2 linked regions of the Nothobranchius furzeri genome follow. The protein of the gene in region 2 purifies or fractionates together with the protein of the main gene of each other region. This does not show direct contact. Links are inferred from orthologs where the notes say so. Each region holds a gene or a part of one and is shown on either strand. Other genes may lie near its edges.

Region 1 (3,794 bases), on a different chromosome or scaffold from region 2:
TACAAGTTTCACGTTTTGAATGGAATTACTGAAATATTTTCAACCTTTTGATGATATTCTAATTTACTGGCCAGCACCTGTATAGCTAGCTTAAGGGCTGCGACTAGACTCATAGAATCTGGGGTTACAATCGGTTACAATAACCAACATTCTTGGTCATTCAGTTCATGGTAATCCAAAGGGTTCAGAGGAATGCAACTTCTTTGGTTTCTTTTTCACGTTTGACATAGACAGCTTATTTTACTCCTCTCTCAAACCATCTATCTTCTCTGTCCAGAATGGACAAGAACATCAAGTTCACCAGGGAAGATCCACACAACAACCAACTGCCCTTCTTGGACTGTGCTGTGCAAACTGAACAAGATTGAAGTTTGTAGTTAGCTGGTTAGTGAAGGAGAATAAAAATAAACATCCCAGATATTACTGGAAGTTTATGGGTTTTTAGTTTTATTATTTTCTGCATTAAACTCAACTTGGCCCATGCTTAAGCATGTCTAAAAATGAGACCATTGGTTTCAAATAAACTAAGCCAAACATTTAATTTCATGTTATTTATTTCTTACACCCTTGAACTGCAGCATAAATATCTCTAAAGCTGCTCAAAGACATTGAAAGCTAACATATGGACCCATTATGGATTTTATAACCTAAATTTAAGACAAGAATTGGACATTTCCAATAGGGTTTCAGTACTTTTTAAGAGCACGTTTCTCCCACAGCCTGAGATGTTGAAAGAGGAAACTGTTTTTTACCTTGCTAAATCTTCTTAAATGTTTTGCACTTTTAATTGTCCTAAGCACTGTTGTGATTGAATAGCTTTTGTGGGAAATGGCATGTAGTGTCAGACACATTTTTGATCTAAAAAAGCAACTATCTATCACAAAGCCGACGAAAGACCCCCCTTCCCCTTAAAACAAAACTCTTCAGATCTACACGATTCATGTGAACGCCACATTTGGCTTCAAAAACAGTTATTTTTGCCAAAAAGCTACAAGTCTGCAGTTATGATTAATAGCAGCAAAAGAATATTTTGTGCCAGTCTGATTTCATAGCAAGCTACTAAAATGTAAACAAAACATTTGAAGGACATTTCAAAGGATGATATGTGTGAGCAGGGACGTTTGCACAATGTGCATCCAGAACAAGGGGGATCTTCTCTCTTCCAGGAGTTGGTAAAAAAAAATCACTTTGGAGATCCTGAACAGCTTTTAAAGCTGTCTGGTTAAATCCTTTAAACAGTAAATCAAAGTGATGGATGATAGTCTCTGCTGATATTCTTTCATGACTTTTTCCTGGGTTCATCACAGTAAGGTACATTTTCCCGTAGAAGGCCTTCTCTTGGTCGAAGCACTGAGGGACATAGGAAGAGTAAATACAATACAACGTCAAATAACAATCGTCAGCAGGTTTTGAGACATTCTTTCATCAGATTGTAAATGTTGGTTTAGTCAAATATTTCTTATAAAAAGAGAAAAAATGTTTTCATACAGAGTGTGTTTTCTCCAACATGTTCCATCTGAACCACAGACTCACGAAGAACTGTTTCCACATCAGAGCCCATTTTGATCATCTGTAATATTAAAATATGAAAAGAACTCTTCAGTTTTCACTCTGTACAAATACAAGAAAAGATATACTGATGTATCACCATGTTTTGACCCAAATTAAATTAATATCTACTGACCAGATAGAAATCTTATTTGAAACGGATCCAGTTAGAAAGCATCAAATAAAAATTTAATGTAGGTAAGAAAAATTAAACATTTATACCTTCTGAATATTTTCTTCTGATACTTCATTTTTATTCTTCTTGAACTCATCATTGATCTTTAATCTTGCAGCTTCAACAAAGAAAACAGGCATGTGATCAGTAGTACATCCTATGCAGACATATGCAAAGGCAGCAAAATCATTTTGCATCGGAAACTGTCCGTAACGTTATGATTAACGCACACAAATCCCAGACGCGGTTTTGTGAATAAAAAAACGTTGTGTAACTCACCACCCAGCGCTGTTTCATCCTCTTTAAACACATCCATCCTTGTTCTGTGCAGCTTTTTAAACACGCGTAAAACCTGCATTTATACACAAAGCTTTCTACATCACTTGACAACAGTTATCAAAATTCACCGCATTGAAAAAACCGAAAATATTGTGCTAAAATGACAAAATTAATTTAAATCATAAAGCGTGGATTAATTAATGATACTTTTATAAAATCTACAATATTTTCCTCCCTCACCTTCAAACGAGTCCCCATGTTGGCTTTTTCTCACTTCCGAGGTAAGTGAACATTAACCAATAAGCGAAGCTTTTGAAGTCACGTTTATTTGGTAGCCAATCAACGTTCAGCCTGGCTTTAGCTAGCCTAAAATAGCCAGTTTGGCTAGCCATTTTGCCGTATATTTGAGAAATAAACAAAATGAAACTTTAAGATTTTTCAAGTAATTTTTAAAATTAACATTTGAAAGGCTAGTAGTGTACATTAAATAAATATACGGTATCTGCCCACAAAGTTCTTTTATTTCTAAAAAAATAAAATAAGAAGCATTCACGACGGTTTGATTATGTGTCACAGCGGGTTTCCATCTTCCACATTGTCTTGCTGCTACCACATCAATCGAAAGCCAAACATGGCTGATGAAACGGCGAAGGCACAGGTTGCCCGGCCGGGCGGAGATACAATATTTGGGAAAATAGTTCGCAAAGAGATTCCTGTCAACCTAGTTTATGAAGATGATTTGGTAAGTAGCTACATGTCCTCTCGGTGACAATTTTATGCGCATAGCAGCTTCAGAGCAGCGTGCTGCAGCTTCCTGCAGGACACGTTAGCTTCTCGCTAGCTCTGCAAACACACACGGATCATAGGGAAGTTTTTACTACGTATTGAATTACCCAGACTGGAAAGCGAGTCCACGTGCAAACTTTACAGAAATAACACAATATATCCGAAAACATAGTTTGAAAACAGACTTTTGTGCATGGTTCAGTTTTGCAGTTTCACTTTTCCCTTTTGGCATATTTGTCGTTTTTTTGTCATCTTAGAAACAACAACCGATTAGCTCGGGGGACGAGTTTTACACGTTTGTCACGTGGTTTTGAACGTGTTTGCTACACATTCTTGATGGGGTTCCTTTTATTTCAGTGTGTTGCCTTCCCTGATATTGCTCCTCAAGCTCCCACTCACATCCTGGTCGTCCCCAAAAAACCAATTGTTCAGCTGTCACAAGCCGAGGACAGTGATGCTGCTGTAAGTAGGATTCTTCCATTTATTTCTTTAAATTGAGGGATGTGGATAAATGCTAAATCATGTCTGACTTGTAGAGCAACACTATCAGTAACCGCTAGAGGGAGCCATTTTTTTTAGTTTCTCAGAGCTTGCCAGGCTAGGGACTGTGTGTGTGTGTGTGTGTGTGTGCGTGTGTGCGTGTGTGTGTGTGCGTGTGTGCGTGCGTGCGTGTGAAGAAATACATGTAAATGCTATTTTTTGTTTTGTAGCTGTTAGGTCACATGCTGATAGTTGCAAAGAAGTGTGCCCGAGACGCAGGTCTGGCTAAAGGCTACAGGATTGTCATCAACGACGGGCCGGATGGCGGCCAGTCCGTCTACCACATCCACATTCACATCCTGGGTGGACGCATTCTGGGCTGGCCTCCTGGCTAACCTCCGTCCTCCTGCACAGGCTGCTTTGCCATATCTGTCACCTGACGTCCAGTGTTGCTAGATTTAAATTCAGGATGTATCACAATGAAATGAGTTACACAAATCTGGAAATGCAAACATGTTAATAAAAT
Region 2 (3,439 bases):
AAGCAGAAGCAACATAGTAAGAATAGGAGTTGTGGATTTGAAGTGGCCTGTGAAGGAAGTGCACTTTTTTAGTAAAAATATTTATTATGTATCTGAATGCTCTGAAAGTGATATTACGTGGCTTTAAAAGTTGTGAATTTAATACTTGATTTATTGATATTGGAACAGCCTATGGTCATATTTGTACAAAGATATAATTGTGGAAAAAAATGAGCCAAATTGCTTTTATGAATATAATGGCACAAACCGTCCATCAAGTTGCATTGTGTGAATGTTTAGAGTATATTGGATTATTTCAGTAAAACAGAATATTACTGCTTTTGTTTACATAACCTTTTGTACGTCATGTGCATCTAATAAGCTTAAAGTGTTCATCTAACAAATCGTAATTCATTATGTTTACTTATTAATAATCCTTCAAGTGCTCCAATATAATCTAAAAACTTTTAAGTCAAAACAACTCTGAGGACTTGGCTGTGACTTTTTCATAAGGGATGACATGCAAAAAAATGTCAAATAAAAATATTTTAAGATTTTTAAAATGTGTTTTAGTCCACTTTTGTTTTTTTCTACCTTTTATGTGGTACTCCTGTTTACAACCAGAATTGATTCTTTTTTTCTATGCAACAGTCTCGAATTCCCAGTAATGCGTACAAAATGCAGCGAAAAATGAGAAATATACTGGCATGGATGAGATACTTTATTGATCTCGGTGCAGCAGTTGTAATCACGTACAGAAATCAAAATAAGTGATGACTCACTCAAGGCTGAACTGCATTAACTCAATAGAGCATTTCTTAATACCTTTTTAATTACAAGTAGACATAAGATCCCTAAAATCATAAATAGAGTCAACTAATTGCAATTTTAGGGAGAGGAACTGGGACAGCATCTGTATTTATCCCACTACGAGTGTGTTGTCATCAAGGAACTCGTAGTAGGGAACCTCCAGATTAAGAGGAGCAGGTCCCCTTCTTATTCTTCCTGAAGCATCATAGTGAGAGCCGTGGCACGGACAGTAGTAACCCCCAAAGTCTCCAGCATTAGCGATAGGCACACAGCCCAGATGGGTGCACACTCCAATAACAACGACCCACTTGGGGTTGATCACTCTTTCTTTGTCATGCTGGGGATCACGCAGCTCTCCGATGTTCACAGCTTCCTCTGTGGAAATTTCCTTTTCTGTACGATGACGGACAAATAAGGGCTTTCCTCTCCACTTGAAGGTCATGTTTTTGCCTTCTGGGATGTCACTCAGCTTGATCTCAATTTTGGATAAGGCCAGAACATCAGCTGATGCACTCATGGAGGTGACAAACTGGGTGACGACCGTTTTGGCTGCATAGACACCAACCACAGCGGTAGCGCCTGTTAACATGTAGGAGAATGCCTTTCTTGTGTCACTGCTGTCTTGGGAAGACTTTCTGGGATCCAAAACCTCTGGGCGACGGTAGTCTGAGAAGTCAGGAATCTTGATGTCTGTGTGGGCCAGACGGGTTCCTGCAGGGGCTGGAAAGAGAAATGACAGACAACATTGGTAAATGAGCTTTACAACACCTTATTAAGCTGTATTTACAATATTCTTTCAAATGTTTACATATTTAAACGTTTAATCCTTAACGATATAATTAGGATAGGTGTTAAATGTAACCTTACAAAGTAGAAGCCGACAAGCAGTTAACGGTTCTGTATTACTTTTTATTCAAAAGTACTTTAGAGTAGTAGCATAATAAAATAGTTATGGAACTTTGGTTTAAATATATTAATTACACTCAACTAAATACTTTAGGTAATGTTAAAATTCTAGTTATGAGCTACTACAAGCTAGGTTTTGTAGTAACGTCACCTAGCTAGCTAACTCGGCCTTACCAGCAACGGTAAACAGCTCCATAGCTCCCGGGAACACCAGGCTTTTAAAGGTGTTTCTTGTTGCTCGATAATAGGGTAAAATAACCCCGGGGCGAGTGACTGTGGACATCATTTTGCCCCAAAAAGAGTCTCTTCAACCCGGTAGCTTGGGACACGACCTTGCGCTAAAGTAGCTTGCGCGCGCCACTCTTTTCTGCCTTCCCAGAAATGGTCTAACCTTTAACCGTCCCTGTTACGTGTGTATGTTTTTTTTATTTAAAATAATCTAGAATGTCCCTTATCCTCTTTAAAAAATATTCTGATCATTTTTTTCGTGTAATTATGCAACATAATTATTAAAAAATAAAATCTTAAATAAAAAAATGCCAAAGGTCTGATCAAGGCAGGCACATTTTAAGACACCTCCAACGCGGGGTCCTTATGATGTAAACAAGTGTCGTCGCACGAAATGTACGGAAACGCGCTACACAATGGTAACCTGAGATAAGCGAAGAAAAATGAAAATACCGAAAAGAAAGCTGTTTCTTTTTATTATTTTTGCATACGTGGCGTTTTCACTTTATGCCGCATATAATGTTTTCTTCAGCAACAAAGTAATCTCCCGCGTTCACAGAGTGGTGAAGAAGGAGACGGGAGCGCCGTCGGGTGATTTCACTTTAACATTTAATCTCGTTGAAAAGAATTCCTTCAAAGATATTCAACTATTGTGATTTTTTTTTGTTTAGTCATTGTGTTTTTTAATAAATAAAATGCACACAAAGGAGCTAAGTAGGGCCCGTGATGTGTTTGCAGGCGGTGTCAGAGATGGCGGTGCTCCATTTGTTGCTGATGAGTGGAATCCGTGGGAGGATGAGGAGGTGGAGTACAACTCTGCTCTGAACAAAAAGAGACAAGCCTTTAAAGAGTATATGGCTAAACTTGACAGAAACAAACCCAAAAGATACAAGGTCCAAATCTGGGGGAAAGCTGCTATAGGTATGGCATGGATCCAGTCTTATTAGACTGTCATAACCTGGGGCTTTTTAATTTATTTATTTACAGTGCATCTTTAACATCTTCAAGTTTTTTTTTTCATCTTTTAAAAATATAATTACTTTTTATAAGATCCAAAAGATGATCAGAACCTGGTTTTACATAACTACAGACAAATTTTGGGGGTTTAAAAATGTTAAATGCCTCTTAGCTTCTTTGTACACGTTTCACAAATAGATGACTAATCTGAACACTGTGAGCACATTTGATGTATTTGTGCCCCTTGTTAGAATATTGGTGAAACTTATACTGTGCATTAGCATTAAATATGTAACTTTGATTGCAAATGTCATTAATTATCTTCTCTTCTCAGGGCTTTACCTTTGGGAACATATTTTAGGAGGACCTCTTAACCCAACAGACAAGGTAGCACAGTGGCGAGAGGGGGAGCTACAGTCAGGAAAAATCGATTTCAGGTAAAACACCACAGTTATGTTTAGTTTTTCATCAAACTTTTTGTGTTAGACATACTTCATACTGTTACCATTAAGGGGGGACTTAGACAGACTTGGATTAATTCTTCTTCCAACTACTTTCA

Evidence for each region.
Region 1: the proteins of cytochrome b-c1 complex subunit Rieske, mitochondrial (region 2) and lyrm7 purify together in Homo sapiens (co-immunoprecipitation; 5 studies listed by BioGRID and IntAct, with this or other methods). This does not show direct contact. The link is inferred for Nothobranchius furzeri from reciprocal best matches to the Homo sapiens genes UQCRFS1 and LYRM7.

What each region holds. Positions count from the first base shown.
Region 1 is NC_091752.1:25,367,441-25,371,234, reverse strand, and holds lyrm7 (complex III assembly factor LYRM7), read right to left. Parts: upstream 2,331-3,794; 5' UTR 2,261-2,330; coding exon 2,243-2,260; intron 2,076-2,242; coding exon 2,003-2,075; intron 1,842-2,002; coding exon 1,771-1,841; intron 1,571-1,770; coding exon 1,489-1,570; intron 1,351-1,488; coding exon 1,280-1,350; 3' UTR 537-1,279; downstream 1-536. Other genes in the region: adenosine 5'-monophosphoramidase HINT1, read left to right, coding at 2,634-2,744, 3,146-3,250, 3,499-3,663.
Region 2 is NC_091744.1:78,630,227-78,633,665, forward strand, and holds cytochrome b-c1 complex subunit Rieske, mitochondrial, read right to left. Parts: upstream 2,152-3,439; 5' UTR 1,982-2,151; coding exon 1,870-1,981; intron 1,510-1,869; coding exon 899-1,509; 3' UTR 683-898; downstream 1-682. Other genes in the region: rxylt1 (ribitol-5-phosphate xylosyltransferase 1), read left to right, coding at 2,367-2,514, 2,662-2,844, 3,215-3,317.